Linked DNA regions of Canis lupus familiaris. Each later gene encodes a partner of the first gene's protein in a complex. Links are inferred from orthologs where the notes say so. Each region holds a gene or a part of one and is shown on either strand. Other genes may lie near its edges. The genes, in order: GRM5 and HOMER1.

Evidence for each region.
Region 2: the proteins of GRM5 (region 1) and HOMER1 are in contact, whole or in part, in a crystal structure (PDB 1DDV), measured with the Rattus norvegicus proteins. The link is inferred for Canis lupus familiaris from reciprocal best matches to the Homo sapiens genes GRM5 and HOMER1. Residues at the interface, in XP_006229721.1 of Rattus norvegicus: Thr1155, Pro1156, Pro1157, Phe1160; in NP_113895.1 of Rattus norvegicus: His12, Phe14, Trp24, Thr70, Ser71, Gln72, Lys73, Phe74, Gly89, Phe90.

The regions. Positions count from the first base shown.
Region 1 is NC_049242.1:11,067,260-11,082,647, reverse strand, and holds the start of GRM5 (metabotropic glutamate receptor 5), read right to left. Parts: upstream 9,713-15,388; 5' UTR 9,522-9,712; intron 1-9,521. UniProt on the Homo sapiens protein: G-protein coupled receptor for glutamate. Ligand binding causes a conformation change that triggers signaling via guanine nucleotide-binding proteins (G proteins) and modulates the activity of down-stream effectors.
Region 2 is NC_049224.1:27,538,731-27,553,813, forward strand, and holds the start of HOMER1 (homer protein homolog 1), read left to right. Parts: upstream 1-5,241; 5' UTR 5,242-5,256; coding exon 5,257-5,360; intron 5,361-15,083. UniProt on the Homo sapiens protein: Postsynaptic density scaffolding protein. Binds and cross-links cytoplasmic regions of GRM1, GRM5, ITPR1, DNM3, RYR1, RYR2, SHANK1 and SHANK3.

The DNA.
Region 1 (15,388 bases):
AGAAATGAGTGAAAATATCAGTGAGGGTGACAAAACATGAGAGACACCTAACTCTGGGAAATGAACAAGTGGTAGTGGAAGGGGGGAAGTGGGCAGGGGGGTTGGGGTGACTGGGTGATGGGCCCTGAGGGGGGCACTTGGCAGGATGAGCACTGAGTGTTATCCTATATGTTGGCAAATTGAACTCCAATAAAAAAAATAAAAATAAATTAAAAAAATAAGGTAGAAATGTGTATGATTCAGACAATCATGTTTGTATTGCCCTGGCATTCCCCCGCCCCATGAGATTATGGTCTGCTGAATTATAAAGCAATGACTGCTTCACGATCTGCCTTGGATGCACACAATGGCTATATTTCACCAATATTAGCTATGAGGCTCACATACCTGGAAAGTACATTTTGAAATAAATTATCACTTGGAAACTTGACAGAACTATGCTACAAGTTGGCTTATTATAAGGTTAAACAAGTCATTCCATGTGCTCCCAAAATACAAGAAATGAATAGAACATAAATTCCAAATAGACCAGTCGGGTATACACTAGCTCTAGTGTGCCATCACTCATTTGTCCAATACGTGTTTATCAAATAAATATTATGTATGAGGCTCTGAGGTTTCAGTTATGGACAAAGCAAACATAGTCCATGCCCTCCTAAAGCTTATACTTTAAAGGGGAGTTGTCGGGAGGGAAAAAGAGGGAAAAAATAATAATAAAAAAATAAAGGGGAGTTATCAGATAATAAATAAGGAGGCAAAATATTTTATGTGCACAGTAATAAGGGTTAAAAATAAGAATAGAAAAAAAATAAGAATAGAGCAGGGAAGGAAGATAGAGTCAGAGATGTGGGAAAATTTTAATAATGTAGCGAAGAAGTATACACTTTAAAAGTAAAATCTGGGTAAATATCTAAAAGAAGTAAGAGAATGAGTTGTGCAAATATCTAGGGAAAGAACATGCTATGTAAAGGCAGAATCAAATGTAAAGCCCCTGTGGCAGACTTCTTTCTGCTTCTGCTTTGTATGCTGAGAAACAGCAAGGAAGCTAGTGTGACTACAGCTTAGTAAAACTGGGGGAGAGAGGAAGTAAAGTCAAGAGATAGGACGATCATGTGGACTCTTTTTGGATTTTAACAGGCTCGGCTTTAACATCAGAAGAGAGTGACTTTCTGGAAGAGTTTTCAATAGAAGACAGAACACATGACAGAACAATGACCAACATTTCAACAAGAATTAGGGCAAAGGCCGAACTGAGAGGGCAGTTAGGAAATGTCTGCAAAAATCCTGGTAGGAGAGATGACACTGGCTTGAATCAGGGAGACATAGCCCTATCAGCAGAGAAAACTGGCAGAAGACAGAGTGGAAGAGTTTGCTGTCAGATCTGAGTTGGAATATGAAAGAAAAATAAGGATCAATGAAGACACTAAGGTTTTTGGCATGAGCAAATAAAAGATGGTACCACATTGACTGAGGTGAAAAAAGCCATGGAGGAGCAGATTTGGGTGGACCTAACAAAAAGTAGTTTTGATATGTTAATTTTTAGATGCCTTACAGAAATTCAAGATGAAACATTTATTAAGCAGTTGGATATAAGAGGTTAAATTTCTGAGAGAGGTCAGTGTAGGAGATAAAAATGGGGGGAGGCATCACTATACAGATAACTGTTTTTTGTAAACCATGAAACTAAATGAAATCACCTAGGAAGTGCAGAGAGAAAAGAAACTAGTTCTGAGACTGAGCCCCAGGGAATTCCAATGGTTCAGTTCCCAGAGATGAGGAGAAACCAGCAAAGGAGACTGAAAAAAAATTGATATAATTTAAAATATAAATATGATACAAATATAAAATACTGAGTGTGCATGCATGCATGTATAAGATCTGGAAACATACACACTGACCTTTATAGGATGTTCTCTGAGTGGTGGGAAGATGTGTCACTTTTCATTTCTTCTTTGTCTTTGTCTATGTTTTCTAAATTTCTACATTTACTATGAAAATATATTATTTGTTATATTAGTTTAAGTGTGGGACTGAGGGATCTGCCTTCTAAATTTCTGCTCCAGTATTCCTTGTGGCCTTATCTCCCTTGGATCTGCTCTTCCTTGGGAGTCTGCTAGTCAAGCAAATTTGTGTCTCCTCCACTGCTTTACCCAATGGTTTTGTTCATGCTGCTTCTGATCCCTGACATGCTCTTGCTTCAGTAGCCTTTATGGTAGAGTTTTTAAGAGCATGGTCTTGGAATCAAATGGACCTGGGTTTGAATCCAAATACTGCCATTTGTTGGCTATGTGCCCTTGGTCACCAAGCCTCTCTGAGCCTAATTGGAATGACAATAGTATTACCCTAAAGGGTTTTAATGATGATTGAATGAGATAATATTTTTAAATAGTCCCTTTATAAAATCGTCCCAGATCCTTCACCTTGTGTTTGCTCTATTCCCTGAACTCATATGGCATTTTTATCGATACTTTGTTGTGTCTATTACTAAGCTAATATTATAGCTATTTATACATGTTCTAGCTTCCTATAGACTTTGGATCCCTTAAAATTGGTACTATATATAGTATCTGGTATAATCCTTGCACAAGATAAATGTTCAATAAATCCTGCTGAATGAACAAATAAATAAAGAATTGCCTCCACTGGGCTTTCTGGTCAACCACCTAATTGAGGTTCCAAGATAGTATCTCTTGCCCCACCCTAGAAAATTGAAAAATGTATTCAGGCAACAGAGATCATCAAAAAGAGAAGCAAGGACTGACAAAGTAGTAGGCAGAAAACTTTAGTGTCGGTGAGGCCATTTCTCCTTAGCTGTCTCCCCATGAGCTATATTCATTTACTTAATAAGGGTCTGGTAGGGGGGAAAAAAAGGAGGGGAAAAAGTAATACTGTATTACTTTTTCAATTTATAGAACCTTTTTCCATTATCAATCCCACTTCAACCTATAACAAAATTACTGCCAAGAACATCTGATTGTCCCATTTCATATATCAGGAAATAGAGTCTCCAGGAGAATAAATTATTTGCTTTAACTTATAACTCTGAGATGGTAGAGGTTATAGATCGGTAGCAAAAAAAAAAAAAAAAAAAGAAAAGAAAAGAAAAAGTGAGGTTCTTGTTACAGATCAGGAGGCGGAATTAACTAATACAGTGATTTAAAGAGCTTTCAAAATGCTACAGATCTACAACCTAATATATGGAAAGCTTTAATTCAATCAAAAGCAGGAAATGATAGGAGTTTACATAGTCTAACATATAATAAGTTGGTTGAGGGTCTTATTTTCAGAACCACTAGTCTGCTTTATTCAATAATATATTTCTTGGCTTACAGCATAATAAAATTAATCACTACCCCACTATAGAAAACAGTAGACATATATTTAATATGTATAGAAGTATTTTGCCTAGGTAGTCAGCCTCCTACTGTATCCTAAATGAATATGAAGAAAAAATGTTGGTGGGTAGAATTTGCATAAATGGCAATTTACACTGTAACCAGATTCACAGCTCACATTGTCTTTTATTTTCAACAATCTTCTCAAACACTGGCCATCTTTCTGGCACAGATGTCTCTTATATAACTTAATCCCCACACAAGAAAATCACACAGTTCGAGACATCAACACTAAAATGATTCCTTCTGCCTGAGCAATAGCGTCATCCCAAATAGACAGGGGTGTCAATATTGCCTATGCCATGAATGCCTTTGATGTATTTTCCTGAAAACAAGTGCATCCCAGAGATAAGAGACACTATGAGGTATGATACTGAGAGCTTATAGTCTAGGAAAGCTCCACTGCTGTAGCTATCTCAAGCACACATCTGTGACCTTGTAAACAAGAAAGTCCAGCACCCTCTCTGTTTAGCCCAGATCCAAAAATATGCCATATTTTCAATGAAACCCCCTAAAAACCAGAAAAGGGCTATAAAATAACATTGTATAAAAGTGAAATCTGTAATTTTATGCATTAATTAAAAGATGCTGGCACTAGAATAAAGCTTACTGTAGATCACTGTAAATCATTAAACAACTGGTTTAGTAGTCCATGAAGACCTGAAACAGCCTTCTACAGCAAAGCAATAAAAATGATGTAATCTACTGTTAACTAGTCTCAATTTAATTATCAAGCAGGGATTCCAGGCATCTTCCCATTTTGCAGCCTTCAGCTGCTTTCTTGTTATTTATGGCATACCTCGAAAGACTGTAAAGCATTATTGTGCATATTATATTACTTATCATCAGGTGCTTGAAAATGTGCTTTTGCACTTCTAACTCGATCTCTACTTACTTATTAATAGCTAATATTTATTGGGTGCCTGCTTTGTGCTAAATAATGTTAAAGCATTATTTAATGTAAGTTCTCAAAATAACCCTGTGAGGTAGGTATGATTACTACCTACGTTAAATATCTCTAGAAATTGAGGTTACAAGGTGAAGAATCTTGCCAGAAGTCTCATACTATAATAACTGGCAGAGTCAGGATATGAACCCAACTCTCTCTGGCTCCAAAGCCCACACTCAAACATAATCAGATGATAATGTCTCCCAAAAGACCAAGTGGGTTGGCTGGTTAAACCTTATACATTGTTTGCAAAACATTCTGGAGACTCTCTACTTTCCATTTAAAGTTTATGTATGCCAGTCAACTACATTTAGAAGCCATACAAACCAACTAAATTAACAGATGTAACTCTATTTCCTATAGTTATTTAGATCATAATTTCCCAACCTCAGCACTGTTGACATTTTGTTGTGGAGGTTTACTGTCGTGTGCATTGTAGGATGTTTAACAGCATCTCTCATCTCTGGAGATCCCAGGTTTCCAGATGCCAATAGCAAACATACCTCCTCTAAGTTGTGACAAATAAAAATGTTTCCAGACACTGTCAATGTCCCCTGTAGGTCAAAGTCATCCCCAATTGAAAACTGCTGATTTATATCCTGGCAAGGTTTATATAAGCATCAAAAAAGAATACAACTAAGAGCTAATCATCTGGATTCGTCAGTCCCACAAAACTTTTTCCTGAAACATCCTAATAATTTAAGGAGAGTAGTTTAGAATAGGTTTTTCCTGTTCCTTCTTTACTTTGTAATTTGTTTCTGGCTGTATTATATTGTTTTGAAGCTTGTAATTTCAATTCGAGAAATACAGATTAAACCTTGAGAGTGAAGGATATTGCCTTACTTTAAATAAGCATGATTCTAAGTAGCCATAAGTTGTAATAAATGAATGAGAAGAGTATCCTGTGATACACTGTTATCATTTCAAAGACTATTTTTAGTATGAAATATAAAGTTCATTTTAGTTTTAACAAGATAAAGAACATCTTATACAGTAATTACATGTTGGTTTTTCAAAATGTCGTTTTTATTTTTAAAAGAATAATTATGTTATTTACCTTCTTGTCTGTCTTTAAAAAGTATGATGACATCATTGAATATTAAGGCAAATTGATTTTTAAGAAATATTTTTCAATTATTCCTCTGTAAAATATAAATGTAAACAGGCTATATTATTATTATTATTATTACTATTATTATTACAGTGCCCACTAGCACCATTATGATTATGATCTTTTAATTTTCCTCAGAACATTTATGTTTAAGAGCATAAAGTTGAAGAGCAAGTTTAAGAGCAATGGCAAATAGCCAGAGTTACTGTGAAAGCTGATCATTAGAAAATTATTCATAGGTCTGATATCTTTTTTAAAGATTTTGTTTATTTATTCATGAGATACATACAGAGGAGAGATGCAGAAACACAGGCAGAGGGAGAAGTAGGCTCCATGCAGGGAGCCCAACATGGGACTAGATCCCGGGTCTCTAGAATCACAGCCTGGGCTGAAGGCGGCGCTAAACCCAGGCTGCCCCAATGGTTTTTAAAACCAACAGAATCAAAAAAAAATAAAAAATAAATAAAATAAAATAAAATAAAACCAACAGAATCATATTTACATAGAATACATTTTTTCACATCTAAATATTTCCTTTAAATTTCTTAACGAGTTTGATGAAAATAAAGGAAGATAAATTTGAAACAGCAATTATGTACCAACCACAGGATTGCTACGAAAATTAAATTCAGTAACATGGGAACGCTGAATTTGATATTCAAAGGCCTGGATGGGATTAATAGTTATAACTACCATTTCTACACTGTTCATTGTGGGTCTGGAACTTTGCTTATATTTGTACAATTAATTCATTGTGATTATACAATGCGCCTTACAGTGTTACAACCTGTTTCTCCTGGAGCCCAACGTGGGGCTTGAACTTACAATCCTGACATCAAGACCTGAGCTAACACCAAGAGTTGGACACTTAACTGACTTAACAACCAGGTGCCCCCCCGTTCATCATTTTAAAATGAGGAAAGCAGAGGCAGAGCAATGTTAAATATCTCACCCTAGGTTACATAGCTAGTAAGCCACAAAGATGGGATTGTGGCTTACAATTCAGGCAATCTTGTGTAGGGGTCTGCCCTCCCAATCATACCACAACTTACTGGAAACCACAGTGAAACAATTCCATGGTGTTTAGCAATACCATAGATTAAGGTTACCTAATGTAATGAAAGAGGGTAAGTTTGATTTCCAAGCAAATGAGATGTGTGCATTTATTTATTTATTTTTCCCATTTCCTCGTTATATGACAGTGGAAGGAAAAAAAACCAACTCCGTTTTCACAATAGGAAACTAAGAACAAATATTGCCTTGCACAATTGTTATAAGGATTAAATAACACCAATGCTTGGCATGATGCCCACTGTACTCAAGAAAGGGTAGTCGTTGGAGCAAGGATGAGCCTGAACCAAGACTTATGCTTGGTTCCTTCCCCTTCTGATTCAAGGTACATATAACTCAAACAAGCTGAGAACTGGTAAATTCTAGATTTTTTTTTGTCTTCCTCTGCGAATTTAAAGGAAATGAAAGCAAGACTATGGCATAATGTTTTTTAGAACTATGTTTTAACTGAGATAAATACCAAGAAGATACTGTCTTTTACAAATAGTTGAAAATTCCAAAAAAAATTTTGATTTTATTTTCTTGGGTTATACAAGCAATCACGAACTAAAAAATATTTCTTTTGATGCTCTTCCCTTATGCCCTCCTAAGCTCCACTTATTAATGAAAATAATAACTAAATGATGTTTCAGGACTATCATTAACATTTCTCTGAATTTTTAAAATAACACATATTTATAAACTGTGGGATGTTCCTGCATTGTAGTAATACACCATCAGCATATCCAAACTCCAAACCAACAAACTAGCTTTAGCATATCATATATATATATATATATATATATATATATATATATATAAAGATAGTCTTCACTATTTTATAAAGTTAGTTTATACTCTATTTAAATAACATAACAAAGAGTATATGGAAGAATCGTCGAATGCATCTCTCTCTTCACCCCATTAGGACAGAGAGCCTGGAAGAAGATGGTTACAAATAAGTACAAAATTTTTCAAGATTTTAGTGCTATCTCATATTTTCTACCTGTATTTTTACCTATGCTTTACTGGCATTTATTTTAGTTTCTTATCTAAAATGCTCTGAAAATTCCACAAAAGAAAATATAAGACTATATAAAATCTCTAATATGTTTTGAACAAAAATGAGAACGTTAGAATTATTAAAACCCTTCAGTCACACAAGTACTACATATTTTGTGCTGGTTGAACAAAGTTTTCACTTTAGTGTCTGTTACCATGTCCATCACAGACTACGAAATGAAGGCAGAGGCCTGTGTCTCCCTATGGAAGTAAACTGAAGAACTGGGCAAGTACTTTGGGTTCTTCAAATATCACCCTCTCTCCCAAATAATCTCAGTATGTCCTTCAACAAATCAATATTGCAGGATTTGGTTTTTCTCTGGGTACAACCCATGGCCCAAATACTGCCATGTGATAACAGAGATCTAGGTGGTGCGATGAAAATATCCAGATTATACATTTTTGTCAAGCAGAGTATAAATGACTAGGGAAAGCTTTTCTCTTAAAAGAAGCAGTTATGTGGAAAGTATTCTATCCACAATCTTCTAAGAAACCCTGAAGGATCTGTCCGGAGTGCTGAAAAGGTCCCCGCTGGAGAAGGCTGAAGACTGGAATGTGTATCAACCTGATTAGTTCAGGAAGCAGTATTTTCAATTCCCAAACCAAACATCCTTTTAAACAGAAATTTAAATCTATAAAGGACAGAAGTCATTACAACTGATTCTTAAATGTGTAATTCATAGACACAAAAGAGAAATTAAAGAAGAAAATTCCTTGTGCTCTATGACGGTAATGAGGGGCACAAAGCACACCCAGCAAGAGGTAGCATACCCGAACATGCCAAAACTCAAAAGAATGTCTAGAATGTTGTATAACTAAGAGGATTCTACAGAAAACCTTGGCTTAGCCCCACTGGGGGAAGAGGCTGAACATAGTAAAAGGCAATGTTAACTTGGCTGTCTCAAATGGCCAGAAGCCAATGTTAAGAATACAGATTAGCTCTGGCCCAGCCTCAAGGGACTCAGAACAATAAAACAATACGTAGGGAATGAAGAAAGAGGTGGAAAGGAGATGCTGCCTTCCTACCGGCCTGAGTCCATTTCTAAGCGGGAAGTAAAGTGTTGGAGAATCTATCTGCCTGGTTACTCAAGCTTACAGTTCAGCTGAGGCAGCACCAGGATTATGCCTAAATAAGCAAAAGTGCTTGTTAACCTCTCCTCAATTTCCCTTTCCCACAGCACCCGCTCCGCAGGGAAATGAGGGCAGTAGGAAATTCCAGCACCGATCCCAAGAGTCTTCCAGGCAGACTCTTCCCTTTGCGAGGTCCCAAGTCGGGGTTAGGTTCTGGTCACTGGCTAGTTCATGGACCTGACTGGGGTTCTTTCCACAAGCGGCTGTACCCTGAGATCCCTCCTCGGCACACCGCTCATGCTGCCGCTCCTGGGTAACTAGCAGGCTGTGTTTTGGAAGGGAAAGATGCATCCACAGAAGAGGAAAGAGCCGGAGGACGCAGACCGGGGTTCAGGAATAAGCACACTAGCCTGAGTGAAAGAGCTGTGCTTTCAGCACCACCCGCTGTCCCCCCTCTTCCTGCAGCAGGCACCACAGTCGCTGCATCTTACCGATCTAATGGGAAGCGATTCTCCTTCCTTCCCTCTCCACCTTTGCTTCTCTCAATTCCGAGCCCTGGGGTGGTTTGGGGCAGCACAATCTGCATTCTAAGCACGCGCACCTGGCCTTAGGGAGCGGGAACTCGGATCCGAAGGCATGCAGAATCCCTTTCTCAATTCTTGCCGCCATTCCCTCCTTCACCTCATTGCTCTCGCCTTTTCTCCCAACAGGTTTAACTAAGGCCATCAGCAAACGGAGGGGACTTCAACCCCGAGGTCTGGCCAGCCTTGCTCCACGCTCGTCCCACTCCCAAACCAACTGTGAGCTATCCAGCAAGCTGATAGCTCCTACATCCTTCCCGGGCACAGGGACACTTGGGCACACAGACCCTTAGCAAGCTTACCCCCCTGTTGGCCGCGCAGCTGGCAGTGAGACGTAGTCTAGCTAGCCCCCCATAAAGTTGGGCTGTGCTGATCAGCGGGGCAGAGCCGGCCTCTCCATTCCCAGGCTCCCCACCAAGAAGATCTTAAGCTCATCTCCTGCGCTCAGTGCGCACAGAACAGCAGAGCTGAGGGCGGCGTGTGCAGCAATCTCCCTGCTACTGAGGAAGGGGGGAAGGGGGGGAAGGGGAGCTCGCGGAGGAGGGAGGGGTGGTAGTTTGTATTTATAGAGAACAGAGTTCTCAGCGCAACTTTTTGGTGCCACCAAGTGGCACAGTGAGTTCCTTTAGGAACACAGACTTCGGGTCGAATCTGGATGGGTGAACCAGCTCTGAAGCCAGATGCTCACATGATAAGGGGATCTGGGGCACCCCTACGACTTGAGTTTTCCCATATGCACCTTCATACCTCAGTACCTGGGATGCAATCCCTGAGGTCTAGGAATGTGCCTGCATGGAGGGGAAAAAAAGTACCAGTGCCCTCCTCGGACAAGTGGCAGAGGTGTCAAGGACAATGGGCAGATGCCTAGGAGTCTAGGAACCCTTGTCTCAGGAAGAATATCCATTCTCCTCTCCCTCCTAACCCCTCTGTCCAGATCACAGTATTCTCAGATCTCATTCTAAAACCATCCTGCCATCTGGAGTGCCCAACCTTTAAAGTAAAATGCCATTCATTTTCCTTGTATTACAATCAATTCCAGATTATTTCCCAAACCCTCAGATTCAAAGAATCTCACAGCTTGCCACCAAACCACATCCTTTAATTGCTACCTTAAAAAAGCAAGTGACTTTAGGCTCTGTGGATCTGAATCGCTCCAAACAGTACTCAGAACTCTAGGTTCCCTTGGTTAGAGTCTAAGTGTCTGTTTGTCCTTCTCATCTATTTCCACAGACCTCTCAGCATGCATTACACCAAGTGCACAGCCAGGAGCTTGCAAATGTCTTTGGTACTTTGAGGGAGAATGCCCTGAAGCTTCATTTACCTGGATTTTCTAGGTGCTCTTTCTTCCTTGTATGCAGATCCAAAAACCCATATGATCATCGACAGACACTACTCTATGGAACTTTAGTGTCCTCAAACAAAGAAGAATGTCTACATTTTGCAGAAATGGAGAAACTGAGTACACGAAGGGATTTTTTTCAAGGTCACACATTTTCCTCAAGACCAACCCAGGAACTACCCAGGATAGGACTGAATTAACACAGTGCTATGTCAAACCTGACTTCCAGGCTTCCACTCCTTCTATCGCCCCGTTCACTCATTCTCAACTCCCTTTCCTCCCCCAACCCCACCCATCCCTCCCTCTGACCCCATCCTTTGCCGAAGTTCCATAAAGAAATCTAGTGTAAGGATGTTTCCTTATCCCCACTGGCAGTACACGAACCTGAGCTTACAGGTCCGGAGTTACATGGGTACCCCTTAAAAATGGCCCCCTGTTCTAGAAAACCTCTCCCTCCTGTAGTGCAGTCATGGAAGTGTCATTTTAGAAATGGAACATTGGCATTCACACCCAACCAGGTCCCTCTCTTGCTGCCTCCTTTCAAGGTAAAGCATTAGCAAATGCTCTTATTAGCCCTCAAACACCCAAGGGTCTCAAGGATAGATAAGCCCCCCCCCCAACACACACACACACACTCCCTTGTTATGCACCCTTTTGTGCACATGTATCGGTATGCGAGAGAGAGAGAGAGAGAGAGAGAGAGAGAGAGAGAGAGAGAGAGAGAGAGAAATCCAAACGCCTCCTTTGGCTCAGATCTCTATTTTCTCCTCTGATTTTTTTTAGTTCGTTTTCTATGGAAACGAGCCCACTTAAGTCCCTCACTTATGCAAATAAAAGCAAAATGATCTTCATAAACCTCTCACTGGAGCGACGCCGCGGCAGTCTGGGCTCCCGACTAGAAATTCGTGTCTGATTCACACAGCACACGTCCTTGCGGGCTGACTTCTCCAAACTTGCAGGACCTCGTGGCGTCCCTGGCCCCACCGGGGCTCCACCTGCCGCCGCTGCCCTCCCGGGGCCCGTCGCCCGCGCTCCCGCCCTCGCCTGCGGGCCGGGCTGTCTGCGCCCGCGCTGGGGGAGGGGCTCCGGCGGCCCCGGCGGCTCCGGCATCGGCGGGGACTCCCGGCTGGAAGAAAGCAGACCGCGCTGTGCTTACCGGTGCGCGCCCGAGCCCGGCAGTCGTCGCGGGCTTCCTGCGCTCGGGTGCCGGCCTCGGCCGCGGCGGGAGCTGGAGCGCGAGCGGCGGCGGCGGGAGCGGGGGCGGGGGCGGGGGCGGGGGCGGGGGGCGGAGCGGCCCCGGGGCCCGCGGCGGTGGCGGTGGCGGCGGCGGCGGCGGCGGCGCTGTCTCTCGGCGAGCTCCGGGGGCACGTGCCGCGCTCGGGCAGACGCCGCTGGCAGCGCCGCGCAGGGCCGCTTCCTACTCCTGCGGCGCGGCGGGGGCGGGCGGGGCGGGGCGGGGGCGCGACCCCGGCCCCGGCTCGGTGGGTGCGGAGGCTCGTGGCGCCGCGGAGCCTGGGGTGCGGGCGGGAGTTGCCCTGGGCTCCCTGTGCAGGTCCCCGCTTCGCCCCGGGAGCCGCGGGAGGGGGAGAGCGGCGCGTGGAGGCGCGGAGGCGTGGGTGCCGTGGGCGCCGTGGGTGCCGTGGGTGCCGTGGGCGCCGTGGGTGCCGGGGGTGCCGTGGGCGCCGTGGGTGCCGTGGGTGCCGTGGGCGCCGTGGGTGCCGGGGGTGCCGTGGGCGCCGTGGGTGCCGGGGGTGCCGTGGGCGCCGTGGGTGCCGCGCAGCTGGCGGAGCCGCTCCGCGATGAGCTGCTGTCGGGCCGGGGCGCGTAAAGCCCTGACGGCGCCTGGGAGAAGGGGCGCCGCTGCCCGACGGTGCGGAGAGCCGGGGACCCCAGGACGACCCGGAGGGCGAGTGCTAAGAAAGAACAGTCTTCGATGACGGCAGCGCGCGTTTGCACGTCTCGCAAACGATTCTTTCTATATCCATTAAAATTTCTTTCTCCGTAGTGAATATGTTTTACTTACTCGAATGACTTTCCTCTCCGTCCCCCACCGCCCCCATAACTACCAAGACTGTAAAAAAAAAAAAAAAAAAAAAAAAAAATGCTGAAGTTATCTTTAAATTCCAAAACCAGACCTCATGTCTGCCTCTGAAGACGAGATTGCTATGAATTAATTGCATGGCTTAATTTAAAGAAAAGAAAGACATTGTAGCAATAGGATTATGACTATTCCCATTATATTTCCCTAAGCTGAATTTTAGAAGCCAGGTGCTTGCCGCCGTTGGATGAAAGACTAAGAGCTGAGGATACTCCAGTTGAGGGGGCTGGTCCTGATGATCCCCTACTAATGTGCATTTCCCACCAGACCCTTGAAAACAAAGCAAGTTGTTCTTTGATAGCGTCGGTATTCAACGAGAGAAAAGACATGTTATCCGCCACACCTTGTTGATCTTGACAATGGCATCTCTCTTCTCCCCTCTTTCCTGTGTGCTCTCACGGTGGCATTGTTAATTTCTCCGGCTCTTTGATTGCAGTCCAGGAAGCAAGCTTTGGTACTTTGCAGACAGGCCAGCAAAGCCGTGGTTGATCTTCCTGAGTAAAAAAAAAAGATGAGAAAGATGGTACAGATGAGAAAATACAAAAATAGTGAAAGTTCTGAGGAAAATGAAGGGGAACTAGTGGCTCCCTGATTGTGGAGCTTTGATCAAGTTTGATGTACAGAATGATTTGTTAGCCCAATTGGGGGACTGATGATAAGGACGAGATCATAAATGTAATCATGGCCTGGACCGCTTAGCTTTGAGTGAGCATAGGACCCATTAGGTTTCCTATCCTTCTTGGTCAGTTGGAATTGGCTCAAAGCACATCAGTGAGTGGGCTAAACCTAAGTAAGAGGGGTTCTCACAGTGGCTACTCAGTTAGTTAAACTCTTCAATTTCTTACACATATTTTCTGCCCTGCTATCTGCCAGGGTTTGTGGAGAGGATAGGATAAGACATGTCAGAGCATTGTCAGAAATGATAAGGCACCCTATAAATGGAATACATAGTTTATTAAGACATATCCAAAAAAAAAAAAAAGACATATCCACTTCATATGCTCTAAAAGTTACAATGCAAAGGACATTCCCCATGTTGAACAATAGTGATATTTTCAGCTGAGAAGGAAAACACAATTATATAATCTTGAATTGCTCGGTGACATTTTACAATATAGCTTTACCTCAAAATGGTCAAGTGCTAAATTAGGTTAAATTAAAATTTAAAGGAACAAAGAAACAACGTTTTGAGTCTCCAAAATAACTTTTGATTGTAAAACATTTGAAGGTACGACTTTTGCCTAGGATGAGCTATTAATAATCAATATATTGTAAATCTTATGTAGAATAGTATAAAGGAATGAAAAATTTATTTATACTTATAACTGATTAAGTTTAAAACTCGGAATTTTCATTGATTCCTTTTTTTCTCTCACACATGGCAATTGGTCAGAAAATGACTCTACCTTTGAAATGTATCCAAAATGCTGCCACTTCTAACCATCTTCTGGGAAACAGTGTTGAATCAAACTACTCTCATCTTTTATCAGCAATAGCTTCCAAACTGGTCTTTTTTGCTTCTTCACTTTCTCTGTAGGCTGTATTCAACACGGCAGCCAGAGTGTTTTTTTGTTTTTGTTTTTTTAAAGAAGTTAGCTTAAATCAAAACCCTCTGGTAACTTTCCATTTCACTCAGAGTCAAGACCCAAGTCTTTACCATGACTCTACATAATCTTTCCCTACTCCGTTACCTTTCTGATCTCATTTCCTAGTACTCTTCCCTTTTCTTTGCTCATTCTGCTCCAGCCGCCAGGACTCCCTTGCTATTTCTTAAACATGCCTGACATGCTCCAATCTAATGGTCTTTGCATTAGCTGTTTCTTCTGCTTGGAATACACTGTTCACAGGTAATCATTGGGCTAAATTCTCTCCTTCAAATCTTTCCTCAAATCTTATCCCAAATAAGTATGCCCTAGACTACCCTACTTAATACTACAAACTATTCTCCTTCATGATCTCAGGGTCCCTGATCCCCTTTATTCAGTTTTATTTTCCCTCATAGCTCTTAATACAGTCCAGTATACTATATCATTTACTCATTTGTTATGATGATTGTCTGTCTATTCCCCTCCCTCCCATTAAATGTAAACTCCTCAAGGAAAGGAATCTTTGTTTTATTGATATATTCCAAGCACTCAGAAGAAAATTCTAGCACATAGAAGCAACCTAATATATATGTTTTAATATTTAAATGTATATGTGAATAGAGGTATACATTGTACACACTGTCTTTCATATTCCTAGTTGGTATCACTGATGGTAAGTCATATGAATGTTTGCAGGTCTGCAAGACTACTGAGTGAAAGCACTTGTGCCCAACCTGGACATACTTCCCCACCTCTTACCCTCTTCCGTATTTATATTTGTGCTTCTTAGACTTAGCCAGTTCATGTTCTGTACTCCAAAAGGATTACTGTAATCCTAAATGTTTCATAATTATCTGGTTATCTGAATCCATCAAATATCAGATTATAAGTAGCCTTTTAAAATAATTTCTCAAAGTGAATTTATTTTCATTCCTCTAATGGTAACTCATCAAACATTTTTTTCCTTGCCTGTTACTATAAAAAGAACTGCAATAGAATGAACAAAATACTGGCTGGACTTTAGAAAACCTAATGTTATTAAGTATGTGTATATGAGCATATATGTGTTTATTGATTTGTTCATACTATTTATTTTGTATTTATTAAGCTACCATGCACCAGGCATGGCTAAGTATTGGGGATGAA
Region 2 (15,083 bases), on another chromosome or scaffold:
TCTTATTTCTGGTAAACTTGTAGCTAAATCTAGGCTTGACTGAATTTAGGTTTGAATTCAATCCCCTGCCCCCAAGAATATGTCATAAGTGGTGTGATATTCTTCCAGTGTGTTGTATTATGACAGAAGGCACATAAGAATTTCTTGGCATTTCTTTTTTTGTATGTTAAAATTGATCAGTGTTAATCAGTTAATCAGTTAATCAGCTTGATCTATCCATTATATTCTTTCCATGAAATCATTATATTTTAATTCTTCCTAATTTTGTTCTCAAGGAGTACCTTGTCAAACGTTGTTGCCTTTCTTCTAATCCATTCTTCACATACAGCCACAATGATCTTTTATTTATTTATTTTTATTTTTATTTTTTTTCATGATGATCTTTTAAATATAAATCGGATCACATACTACCCATAGTGTCCCATTACTCAAAGACTAATACCTATCCTTTCTATACCTCATTTTATGCCATTCTGTCCTTTGAGAATCAGTATGGCATTATTCATAGCATAGGCTTTTGCATTCGACTGCCTGATTGTGTAACTTTGGGCAAGTCATTCAACTATTTTGTGCTTCAGTTTTCCATGTATAAAATCAGTATTTAAGAATACCTACCAACAGGATTGCAATGATTAAATAATACATATGAGTCACTTGGAACAATGCCTGTATAACATAAATACTGAGTGTTAGCTGTCAGTTGCTGCCGGTGTTGGTGCTGTCATTTCCAATATCTGTGTCTAAGCCACACTGTACTTTATAATTTTTGGAATTGCCAAGCTCTTGCCAGCCTCAAGATATTGCATGTTGTTCTGTCTCTTGGTATATAACAAACTGCCTAAAACTTAGTGTTTTAAAATAATAGCAGTCATTTAATTAGTTGATGAATTTGGAACATGGGATAGGGCTTAGTAGGAATGGCTTATCTCTGCTCTCTTTGGTTCTTGGCTGGGATGGTTTAACTAGAGGCTGTAATATCTACTTTTAAAGAGTCATTCATATGGTTGGTGAGGTAGTGTTCGCTTTTCACCAGAACTCAGCCAGGACTGGGCCTTGGTTTCTCTCCATAGGCTGATTGGCTTTACTCAAAGCATGGTGACCAAGTTCTAAAAGTGAGAGCCCGAAGAGAACCAGGCTGATGCTGAATGGCCTATTACAACTTAGCCTCTGAATTTACACAGTGTCACTTTTGCCTCTTTATTTTGGTCCAGACAGCCATAAAGGTCCATTCAAGTTTAAAGAAAATGGACATAGACTCCACCTCCTAATAGGGGGATGACAGGGTCCTAGAAGAAGGACAGAGTTACTGTTGTAGCCATCTTTGGAAAACATGTTTTAATATACACATGCTGTTGTCTGTGCCTGAAATGCTATTATACTCTGATTCTTACTCTTTAACCAGCTACCCAATTTAAATTAGTTCCATCTTCTTCCGTTCCTCTTGTGCACTCTCTTTCTCATAGTTCTTTATTTTCTTTGGCAACACTGATAATAGTTTGTAATTCTCTCCTGAAGTCCATGAAGGCTAGAGCATGTTATATACCTTGTATTAGGCATAAAACGTGTTGAAACATTAAAATGTATGATCAGTAACTTAAAAATTTTAATCCTGGGGCATCTGAGTGGCTCAGTTGATTGAGTGTCCAACTCTTAATTCTGGCTTAGATCTTAATCTCAGTGTCCTGAGATCGAGCACAAGTTGGGCTCTGTGCTCAGTAAGGAGTCTGCTTGAGATTCTCCCCCTCTCTCCCTTCCCCCTTTGCTGTGCACCCACGTGTGCGCTCTCTTTCTTCCCCAAATAAATAAATTAATTAATTAATTAATTAATCTTAAGAAAAAATCTTAACACCATGTATCACATTTCCAATAGGAAAAGCATATTCCAAACTTTGCAGAAGGAAGGGAACAGAGATACAGAAACACCAAGAGTCAGTCCTTTAACTTCTCATATTTCATGTCCTACTGCCTAGCCTGGGGTGAGGATGGGATGGAGAGGAGAAATGTATGTGTATAAATTTTGTGGAGGAGAGGAGATAGATGGAGTAAGCAGTTTGAATAGCTAAATCATAAGTACGTTTTCTCTTCCCTTATTTCTCTAGTTCATGGCAAGAGGCTTTTAGCTGGTTTGACAAAGAAGAATGATAGCCTAGGAAATATTCAGTACTCTCAGAGCAGCCAGATAGATGTTCTTTACTCAAGGTAACCTAACCACACACACCCTCACTCAGAACCAGTGTTCTTTCACTTTTGACACTTATCTAACAAATCAGTTACTGGGTTTCTCAGCCTCTTGGTGGTTGGGTAGGGGAAAAAAGAACAGATAGTGGGGTACAGATAATAGTAAGAACAGCTGTTGATATATCGGATATTGTAAGACTGGGAATAGTAATGTGTGTTAAAAGTGTCTACAAATTCTAAAGGCTCATTCACTTTAATGAATGAATTTCTCATTCACTTAAATACTTCCTTCATGCCACCTTGTTGGGTGTTGGAGACCTAAGAGTGAACAGAATGCACATGACTCCTGCCCCCATGGAGCTTGCAATCTGGGGATGGGAGTAGACTTAAGATGAGTGTTTGCAAAGTATATATTTTTTATCCTATTGACTTTTAATGTATATGTGTCTATATTTTAAATGATTTAAAAATTTTTTGTAAGTATACAGTTGGCTTTTGCTTAATATCCAATCTGATAAACTCTGCCTTTTATTTAATTTTATTTTCCTTTTTAAGGATTTTATTTGTTTATTTGAGAGAGAGAGCCAAGTACAAGTAGGGGGAGTGGCAGAGGGAGAGGGAGAAGCAGATTTCCCGTGGAGCAGGGAGCCCAATGCGGGGCTCAATCCCAGAACCCCAGAATTGTGACCCAAGTTGAAGGCAGACACCTGAGTCTCTGAGGTACCCCAAACTCTGCCTTTTAATTGGGGTGTTAGAAAATGTACATTTGATATCATAATTGATATGATTGGGTTTAAGTCTGCCGTTTTACTTGTTTTCTGTTTGTTCCATCTGGCTTTTTTTGTTCCCCACCCTCATCTCTCTTTTGACTTATTTTAGCAGACTTACTTAAGTATCTTTTATGGCTCCTTTCATTTATTTTATAGACTTACTATATTTTGAGTCTTTTTTTCTTTAATGATTGTTTAGGGTTTATAGTATACAGTTGACCATTGAACAACACCAGTTTGAACTGCACAGGTTTACTTATATGCAGATTTTTTTCAATCACTACAGTACTATAAATGTGTCTTAACATTTTGATAACATTTTCTTGTTTCTAGCTTTATCGTAAGGATACAGTGTGTAATACATATAACATACAAAATATGTGTTAATCAACTGTTTATGTTGTTAAGGCTTCTGGTCAGCAGTAAGCATTTGGTTAACTTTTGGGGAAGTCAAAAGTTATACATGGATTATTGACCACACAGGAGATCAGCAGCCCTAACCTCTGTGTTGTTCAAGAGTCAGCTGTGTAACTTATCACAGACCTTTGGATGGTATTGCATCACTTCACATATAATAAGAACCCTATAGTAGTATATATTGTATTATCCTCTACCTTTGTGCTATTGATAAACATTTTACTTCTCATATAACCCCACAATACATTGTGATTACTTTTTGCTAAAACAGTCAATTGTTTTTTAAAGAGATTTTAAAATTAAGGAAAAAATAGTATATTTACCATTTTTGATGTTCTTCATTCCTTTAAGTAGATCCAAATATGTACATGTATCATTTTCTTTTACCTGACACTTCTTTAATATCATCATCTCATAGTACAGGTCAACTGATGATGAATTCTTTCAACTTTTGTGTGTCTGAGAAAATCATTTCACCTTCACTTTAAAAGGAAAATGTTTTTTGAGATAAAATTCACAATGCATGAAGTAACCATAAACCATTTTAAAGTGTATAGCATTTGTTACATTCACAGTGTTTTGTAAACATCGTATCTGTCTAGTTCCAAGCTTTTTTCATTATTGTAAATCTGCTTTCATTTTTGCAGAAATTTTTCTGGGTAGAGAATTTTTGATGAGGTTTTTTTTTTTTCCTTTCTTTATTTTTAAGATGTTTTTCTGTCTCCTGGTTGATAGTGTTTCTGATGAGAAGTCCGCTGTCAAATATTTTTTCCATCCCTCCCATCTTTGAGGACTTCAGGTGCCATTTATGTGTCTGTTTCTGTTGATTGATTTTTGCGCTGATAGTATTTTTAAGTGTTAGATATTTAGAATTTGTTGATTAGGTGCTGAATTTTTGTATTTTTAAAATATTCATTAGAGGATCTAATGAAAGAAGTAGGATTTTTTTTTAATATTTATATGGTGATAATTGCATATGGTGATAATGCTTGTCTTAGAGGAAGTAGAAAATAGTGTATTAACATGACATAACAAAAGTCTATAACTTAAGAGATTTTGAGTTGGTTACTGTGTTATTCAGAAGTAAAGAAAAAGGAAATTTAAGTTTTCATTACAAACACCATTCACTTCTTTGGAAATAGTGAAAGTCATGGGCTTTGGATTTAGTCTTGCATTTGAATCCCAGAAATACCAGCACTAGCTGTGACCTAGCTTTGTGTTAAACTCCCCCCTCCTCCAATAAGTCTTTTTTTTTTTTTTTTTTACTCTTTTTATCTCTTAATGTTGTTTTGAGATGAAAATGAGTGTGTATGTGTGTATACATATATATATATATATATGTTAATATAAGGTGTTTACATGTAATAGGAATTCAACAAAATGTTGTGTTTTCACTTCAGCCCATCCTTCAACTGTTTCATTTTTGCAACAATACTACTTCTGGATAACACATTGATTTGAAGTTTGGTGAAATGGGGAGAATAATAGTCACTACTCAACTATACTTGTTATTCTTAAGCAATTACTGTAACTCTTCCCATAGCAATAATTTGTTATTCCTGAGCTTTAATTTTTATCAAATTACACTCAGTTGAAGATACCCAGTTGGTAAACAAATTGCCCAAAAGTGCTTTAATATTTTCAAAATTGCTTCTATTAAGATTTTATGCTGTTTTTCAGGAATTCTTCCCATACTGAGTCAACCTATTATTTGAGGAATAAAATCAGAAATTTATTTTTAATAGAATTTAGAATAAACTAATTCTGTAAATGGAGAGTTAATAGATTTTAACCGGATGAAGATTTGTACCATAGTCCTTAATCCATGGTTTCACTTTCAGTGGTTTTAGTTACCAGCAATCAACTGTAGTCTTGAAGCAGATGTGATGAGATGAAGGTCCATAGTAGCCTAACACTATGTCACAGTACCTACAACATTCACCTCACTTCATCTCATCACATAGGATTTTATCATTTCACATCATTACAAAAAGGGTGAGTACAGTATATTTTTTTGTGATAGACCATACATCAAACTTTTTTACAGCATTTTCTCTTTTATTATTAGTTATTATTAATCTCTTACTGTGCCTAAGTTATAAATTAAACATACACACACACACACACACACTCACACACACATACACACACACACACACACGGAAAAACAATATATAGGATTTGGTACTATCTTTGGTTTCAGGCATCCAGTGAGGGTCTTGAAACACTTCTTGCAGATAAGGGGAGGACTACTGTGTCATCTGTTATCATGTTAGTCTCCTATGTCTGCTGTAGCAAAACAAAGTTGGTGGCTTATAACAACATGGATTTATTTTGTTAAGATTCTAGATGTCAGAAGTCCAAAGCCTGTTTTACTGAGGGTGAAATCAAGGTGTCAGCAGGGCTGTAGTCTTTCAGGAGGCTCTAGGGGAAAATGGTTTCCTCCCCTTTTTTACCCTCTAGAGTTAAACTCCTTGCATTCACAGTTCATGGCCTCTTCCTCCAACTATAAAACCAGCAGTGTATGCATCTTCCAGTCTCTCCCTCTCCTCCCTTTGTCACATAACCTTCTTCTGGAGTTAAATCTCCTGCTGCCACTTTCTTATAAGGACACTTGTGATTACATTTAGGGCTCATCCAGATAATCCAGAAGAATCTTTCCATCTGAAGAGCCTTAACTTAATCATAGCTGTGAAGTTCTTTTGCAAAATAAAGTAACATTCGCAGATTTTAGTGTTAGGACCTCCATATCATTGGGGGCATTATTCAGCCTTCCACAGTCTTTGAAAGGGGATATCAATAAATCCTATTTTTCAAATGTTAGTGTTTTTATGCCATCCTATATTTCAAAGCCTGTTGGCTTACTGAAGTCTGTTAACTTCTCTTTTCTGTTGACTATTTTCAATTTTACCTGGTAAAGTATGTTTTTTCTGCCTATGTCAACAAATATTTAGTTGTGATGATTCACAAGAAAAACTGTCTTAAAAGTCACATCACCGGGGAGCCTACGTGTGGCAATTGAGCCTCCGATTCTTGGTTTCAGCTCAGGTCATGATGTCTCAGGGTTATGGGATCGCATGGGCTCCCTGCTTAGTGGAGAGTTCGCTTCTCTCACCCTCTGCCTGTCCCCCTGCTCATGCTCTGTCTCTCAAATCCTTTTTTTTTTTTTAATTCACATCATTTTTAGGGAATTTATAAGTGGTTTCTAAAGTAGTTCTTACAACCCATTTTGCAGAACTTGTTCTTATGGAATTTAGCCTTTCTGATTATGTATGTGTGAATTCTGTAATAGCTCAGATGGCTCTTATTGGAAGTATACACAACTTCCCCACAGTACAACTAGCTAGGGACTTAATTTTTAAAACTGAAAGGGAACATTTCCCTGGAACAACACCTTTACCCAAGGTGAAATATTCAGTGAAATGCTAGAAGGATTAAATCTTTAGTAGATGTTTTTGCCACAAAAAAGAAACCAAGATAGGGAAAACAATGGGAAGAAAGTAGAAAGTATTTTTGCACATGTACAGCTCCTAGTTTGTTAAAATATACATTTTCTTCCTATCATGTAATCCTTTTCAGAAATACCATATGTGATGAAATTTAGCCAGTGTCTGAAACAGATAGGAGATAATTTGGAGTTCATAACTTCTAGTCTCAAAGACCAGTGCTTTCCCCTCACACAGGCTAACATTATTATTGTTGTTGTTGTTGTTATTGTTACTGTGATCTGTTACAGAGGTGGAACCATTCTGTCAAAATACAGATTAGAGAGTTATGTTTCCTTGCAGAAGGAAAGCTCAAGAACTATGATAATTGAGATGACTAAAAATAAGTTATTGAATCCTTCCAAACTACACTGTCATTCCAATGAAGTCTTAAAGTACAAATTGCTTTCAAAATACAAGTAAAACATAAATGATACCAGTGAACATACATACATTCCATGAAAACAAATACTCCCAACAGTGCTTAACATGCACAGTAACCATAGTTGTGTAGCATACTATCCCACTTCTGTCAACAAAATTAGAGGGAAGGGCCATGCAAACATTTGGTTACAGCGTGAACTCATGACAAAAGAATTATTTTCCCATCCAAGGAGTCACTATAGGGTAAAGTTGGGCACTCCAGAGCTAAATTATATTTGTGTGCCAGCTCTACCAAGTGTTATCTTGAGCAAATACCACTCCATATACCTTAGGTTCCTCATCTTCAAGAGAGGAATAATAGTACCTCATAAAGGCTGAGAGGATTCAGTAACACAGGGATAGCAGTTACAACAGTGTCTGACCCTATGTTTAGCCTTCAAAAATGTTAACTATAACCAAAGAATTTGCCATATACGCATTTATAAGTTTAAGCTTTTGCTTTCAGGTTTGAGTGGCATATCTGAATTTCTCATTTTGAATTATCCAATCTATGGCTTTCCTCCTTCGGCATAAATGATGGAAGCCGTAATTTGTGTGCTCATTAATTGATACAAGAGAAATTGTTGAGAGTTCACATCATACCAAGTGCAAAAGGTTAAAAACTGTCAACTTTTTTGTCACTGACTTTTTAAAATTCAAAAGCTAGTTTTTAAGCTACTCAGTTTTTATGATATTAAATCTGTAAGCTTTCGATTTATACAGAGAATTTCCACTTATTATCAAAAAATCAAGAAAATGGTAAAGCAGGACAGTTGAAAATAGTGTTGAAAAGAAGCAGATGAATAGATAGATGATATCATTACTGAGTAAAAAACAGAACATGGCTGAGTTTCTTGGCAAATGAGCCGAGAAGTGTGTTGCATTGTAGTCTTACTTGGATATAACAGCCATAGATGAATTTTTCCCTTGCATGGTCATAGGAGATACTGAGTAACATCAGGATTCAATGGGAGTTTCTTTTATCAATCTGTTAAGAGATCTAAGGAAGAACTACTTTTTTTTTTTTAAAGTTTTATTTATTTATTTGAGAGAAAGAGAGCACTCAGGAGCTGGACGCTGGAGGGAGAGGGAGAGAGAATCCAAACCAGACTGCATACTGAGCGCAGAGATCCTACAACCGTGAGATCATGGCCTGAGCTGAAGCCAAGTGTTGGCCACTTATCTGACTGAGCCACTCAGGTGCCCCTCAAGGAAGGACTTTATTTATTTATTTTTTTAACATTTTATTTATTCATAGAGACACAGAGAGAGGCAGAGACACAGGCAGAGGGAGAAGCAGGCTCCACACAGGAAGGCTGACGTGGGACTCGATCCCGGGACTCGAGGATCACACCCTTGGCTGAAGGCAGCACTAAACCGCTGACCCACCCTGGCTGCCCAAGGAAGGACTTTAAATCTTAATTCAGTGTAGGCTTTTAAGATGAGAAGAAATTTGCCTTCTGGCTGTGTTACTAATGGGGTTTAATCTTATAGAATTTAGAATAGTTAACAGGTTCCTTAAGCAAATACTTTTGATATTTCTGCCAAAGTACCTTAATAGTAGAAAAGAGTATCATTTAGGATACTAAGGATAGGAAGGTATCTCTTTTGTGGTATGACTTAGCTTATAAATTCATGTGAACTTTTCATTCTTTTCCATAGTCTAACCATATTTATTTCTGATGTGATTTTTATTACCATGATGTAAAATGTTGTGGGGAGACTTGCTGTGCTCACGTTGCTGTTTGTAGTACTCTTGTTAATACCACTTCTCTCCCTTTTCTTGAGAAATAAGGCTACTTGTTTTTCTCAAATGTCTCAAAAGAGCATTCAGTTGAGACTCCGGAGCTCTTTCTCACATGGTGAGAGGCTCTTTCTGACTGGGAGAGATTTAACACTAGGTATTCTACTTTGCTCACTCTAGAGTATGGCTTTTATGGAATAACTGAGAACTGGTTCCAAATAGTTGCACGAGGCAACCTTAATTAGATTCCTGGTATCATCCACTTAAAAATTGTGAAATGTCTGCCAGACATGAAGGCTTCAGTAGAATTGGTACTTTTTCTGTTTGTCCATTGGTTCAGCTACTATTTGTATTTAGTTAATTGATCATGATATTCTCTTCTATGTTGGCTGGGAGAACCAGTTAGGAAACTTTTCCAGTTTGAGATGAGTGGCTTTCTTAGAATTGGTATCTTACGTGATTTTGTAGGACAAGCTTGCTGGTTCAGAGTGACACAGGAAGTTATATTATTTGTTATTTGTTGTGTAAGATAATTCTAGATATCATTACACATCATAAGAGAATTTTGAGCAGACCTAGTTGATGGAGAAACTTGCATCAGTGGGGATTTGTGGCTGATTTGTAGGAAGTATTCTATGGGCAAGAGTATTCCCAAATCTATTATTTGCTGGATGAATCCGTTATCAATAGGGCTATATTTTTAACTGTCATTTACGTTTTTTTTTTTTTTTTAACTTAAGGCCTATATTTAGTAAAGGGTGCAAACATACAGTTCATTGAATGTTTACATATGTATTTATCTGTGTAATCACCAAGATAATATTCTACTACTTACATTTTTTAAAGCAAGCAGATACATTCATTGCATTACAATTGTTTGCTTAAACTTTTTTTCTTATTACAAGTACAGTGCATGTTCACATATTGAAAAATTAAGATTAAAAAGTTGCTTATAAATCCCATAATCAAGAACTCTGTGTGTTTTAGTATACATTCTTTCATTCATTCACTCATTCATTCATTCTTAGGTGCCTAATGTGTGCCAGGTATTTGGGTTGCTGGGGACATAGCAATAATCTAAAAAGACATAATTCTTGCCCTTGAGGAGATAACATTCTTGCCGCAGGAGAGGGACAGTAAATAAGAAAACACATTGGATGTCACATGGTGATATGTCAGGGGGGGAAGTCAAAAGAAGGGGTCGGGGGAATAGGGAAAGGAGCTGCAGTTTTTCATAGAGGAATCAGAATGGCCTCACTGAGAACATAATGTTTGAGCAAACAGCTGGAAGAGGCAAAGAAAAATACTAGACAGATTTGGAGGGAAAGATCACTTCCTTCAGGCAAAGGCCCTGTGGTAGGCAGTGGTGGACATGTTTGAGAAACCCCAGGAAGGCCAGTGTGGCTGGAATAAAAGACAAGTGGCAAATGAGGTTGGAGAGGCAGGGGCCACATCCTGTAGTGGTTCTTCCTCCTGGCTACACAGGAGAATCACCTTGGAGGCTGGGTGTTTCTAACGCAGCCAGGGTTGAGAAACATTGGTAGAAGGCCTTTAGACCATTTTAAGGACTTTGGTTTTTACCATGAGTGAAATGGGAAACCATTGGAGGGTTTTGAGGAATGACTCACCTGATTTAGGTTTTATTATTTTAAAATATTATGAAAATAAAACTTTCCTGAATCATCATCCCACCTGCTTCAGTAGCCATCTCCATTTTGCTTTAGTTAATATACCCTCACCCCTCCCACCCTTTTTACCCCCCAGAGTATTTTAACACTAGCTTAGGTTTTTAGAAGGATAACTGGTTTCTGTGTTGAGAGGAGGACAAGCAGGATGAAGGCTGAATATAAGTATATCCTCTGTGGGGTTTTTTTCCTTTTATATTCCTTTTTTTTTTTTTTTTTTTTTTTTAAAGATTTCATTTATTTATTTGACAGAGAATGAGGGAGCACAAGCAGAGGCAGCAGCAGAGGGATAGGGAGAAGCTGATTCCCTACTGAGCAGGGAGCCAATGCAGGACTCCATCCCAGGACCCTGAGACCATGACTGGAGCTGAAGGCAGATGCTTAACCAACTGAGCCACCCAGGCACCCTTTCCTGGATACTCTTAAACAAAAATTAAATTATACTGGATTCACTATTTTATAAACTATTTTCCTTGACTATATTAGACATGTCACTGAATAGTCAATTACTTTGTTTTTAATGGCTACATCGAATTTTATTATATTGGCTGCACCTTAATTTATTTGGTCTTACATTATTGAACATTTTAATTTATAACCTTTGGTAATCAGACTATGTGGTAATACAGCCCTTTAGCTAAATCTCTGCGTATACCCATGATTATTTCCTTAAGGTAAATTCCTAGAATGGAATTGCTATGTCAAAGGATATGCACAAAAATTTAAAGGCTTTTGATATGCATTGTCAAAGTGTTTTTCAGAAAGGGTTTACTAATTTATACTCCCACCAGCTGTTTCTGAAAGTGTCAAGTTTTCTTAAACTCTCACTAACATTGAAATCTTTCATTAAAAAAAAAAAAATTCCTGTTTTGACAGGTGAAAAAATAACTCATGGTTTTAATTTGCAGTTCTTTGATTTCTAGTGAGGTTGAATTTTATTTCCATTTGCATTTAAAAAATGCTTATTCGTATCATTTGCTGATTGTGTTACTTGGGGTGAGTCACTTAGGACATGTTTTTGTACTATGAAATGGGTATTGTGTGCCAGCTTCTCAGAGTTTTCACAAACTTTAAACAAAAGCATTTTGTATGCCCAGGTTTATAAACTGTTTGACTATGATCCACAGTAAAAAACAAAAGGCATCTTACGTTGCAACCAGCATTGGTAAATAAGTAGCCAAAAGTTTTATGAATAATGCTTCTACTGTATCCAAGTGAGATGCACTCTGACACTTTACATCCTTGTTCTTTTTTAAAATGTCCACTGTTAACCTTTAGTTGATCATGATCCTCTGGGTTGTGATGCAGTGTTTAAAAAAACACTGCTATAAGCTGTAGAGTACTGTATCTTGTTAGGTGCTTTTCTATCTACAGTGATTACCTCTACCAAATACCCTGAACGTCAGTCTGCCCTTTAGCTCTACCAAAATTCGCTTCAGAAAGGCTATAAGTAGGAGGTAAGACTCCAAACTTAGCTTATTATATTCCTATATCAGGTTTTTCATCAGTGAAAAATACTAAATTTATTCACACTCTGAAAATGTACTTGTTTGGACTTCTATAATGCCATAATGACTGAATTATTAACATGGCTGTTTTGAAATAGATCTAATGCATTTGAACAAAAAAACCTACATCATTATGGGGATTGTATTTGCAAAACCCCCAATTGAGACATAGCATCTGACAGAAGTTTTGTCTATAATTTTTGGTACCTGAAAATCTGACAAAAGTGGGAAATGCGAATCACATTTAGCTATATTTAATACAGCTCTTTTTCAGTAGAACAAATTAGTGTATGAAAGTTGAATAGTCCTGAGAGACTAAGAGTATGTGGCTTCCATATATAAAATCCAGATACTATTCTAGCTAACCTAAGTGAGGACCACTCAGAAAGGAATTAGCCAGGTGGAATTATTAGCTGTGACTGGAGAAAACTCCATTTGATGGGAGTGATTCTTTCAAGTCTGAGGAATGTTGGAATGGAAATTGCATAGAGAAACAGAGTGGGGATGGGGTGATGGTGTTTACTATTTGAAAAACACCCAGGAGTTTAACCTATTTAACAATAAAACCTTGTTGTTACTTTTGACTTGTAGTTTAACATTAAATTTTTTTTTAAGATTTTATTTATTTATTCATAAGAGACACAGAGAGAAAGAGAGGCAAAGACACAGGCAGAGGGAGAAGCAGGCTCCATGCAGGGAGACTGATGTGGGTCTCTATCCCAGGTCTCCAGGATCACGCCCTGGGCTGAAGGCAGCGCTAAACTGCTGAGCCACCCGGGCTGCCTGACATTAAATATTTTGTTTAAAAAATATTTTTTGATGCTAAGCCAGGAAAATTTTTAAAGACTCTAAGTTAAAAGTTTGACTAAAAAGCATTTACTACTCCTCTGTTCACCCCTCCACAAAGGAAAAATTTTAAGGAAGGTGAGAAACAATTTGGCATATAAAAATTAAAACTAAATTTAATACCAAGGAACTGTAATTTACCTTTGAAAAAGAGCAGAATATATATGCCGTTTCTATACTCTATTGATTTTCAAACATTAAATGTCATCACATTTAGAAAAATAAGCAACTCTGCTTTTCTGTACTTTAGTGGGTGTTGACCTTAATTAAGTGTGCATATGTGGTTAGAATTATGAGATTTCTCTTTGCATATGGTTTGAGTGCTGAATTTTGGATTCTGGTCTCTTCACTCTCTGAAGCTAAAATTAGGTTTTAAACAAGCTCAGAAATAAGTGTAGAAATCTACTGGGCTCAAATGGGCCAGAAATATATGAAGCATTCCTCAGCCTCACTAGTAATCAGGGTTATGCAAATGAAAGCAACAATGAAATACCATTTCATGCCCATCAAGTTGGCAGAAATTAAAGCTGTCACTTGGACATTATCAAGTGTTGGGAGGAAATAATCTAAGACTATTAGAATATAAATTGGTCATGTGCTGTGAAGAACAATTTGGAAATATGCTATGGCGCATACTCTATGACCAGGAATTCTTCTAGTGTATCTTCTTGCATGTGTGAACAAGTAAACACACAGGGGCATTCTTTGTAATAGTATGAAAATTAGAACCTATGTATGTCTATCAGTAAGGAAATAGCTACATAAAATAGTCCAATATTTTCCAGTTGAAATACAATGTGAACATCATGTGCAATTTAAAATTTACTCCTGGAGTGCCTGGGTGGCTTAGTTGGTTAAGCGTCTGCCTTCAGCTCAGTTCATGATCCCAGGATCCTGGGATGGAGCCCTGCATATTGTCTCTATGCTCAGTGGGGAGCCTGCCTCCTCTTCTGGACTCTACCCCCATGCTCTCTCCATTGCTTTCTCTCAAATAAATAAATTAAATCTTTAAAAATAAATACATAAATAAATTTAAAGTTTTAAAAAGGTAATATCAATTTTAATACATTTTGGCACATTATACCAAAATATTTATCTTTTAAACGTGATTAATATAAAAATCATTGGACTATTTTACATTCTTTTTTCATACTAAGTCTTTGAAATCCCTTATGTATTTTGCACTGAGAGCATATCTCCATTTCGATGCTAAAGTTTATCAGAAATACTTGATCTGAATTTAAATTTCATCAAAAGTACAGTTGAAATAGTAGATTCATGTAACCAAGTTGTTCCATACATGCTTAAATGTATTTAAATAACTGACTTGGGTATCAAAAATCTAAGCTGATTCACTTTCTCAATTGCATTAGCTGTATTTCAGATAATCGGTAGTCATGTGACTAGTAGCTACCATATTGGACAGTGCAGCTCTAGTGATAGCATAAACTATACTGCATAGCAGTTAAAATAAATGATATACATATGTATAAAACATGGCTGATGATTCAAATTTCACAGCATCAGTAAAAATTCTAGAGAAATGTGTGGTTTAATGGTTTGCTTTGAGCAATTTAAAATACTATTCACAATAATACATGGAATAATGTAATATTTATGCAACCACTATTCAAATATAGCAGACATTAACATTTTGCCACAGTACCTTCAAATCTTTCTCTTCAGTCCTGAATTTATTTTTTATTTTATTTTATTTTATTTTATTTTATTTTATTTTATTTTATTTTTTAATTTTTTTTGAATTTATTTTTTAAAATATCCATTTCAGATATTGTATGAATTGAGTATCCACTTGATTAGTTTGTAGTAGGTATACAGGAGAAAAGTACCAAAGAGTAATACTGTTCCTTGAAATATTGGTGTTAGAATTCAAGTGGTCTTCTAACATTTAATGCATTTGAAAAGTTTTTAGGAATTGGATGTCTACTAGAAAATTATTTTAGATTTTTAGGAATGCACCACCTGTTTTAACCAGAATTAAATTCTTAATAAGAGGCTATTCGCTT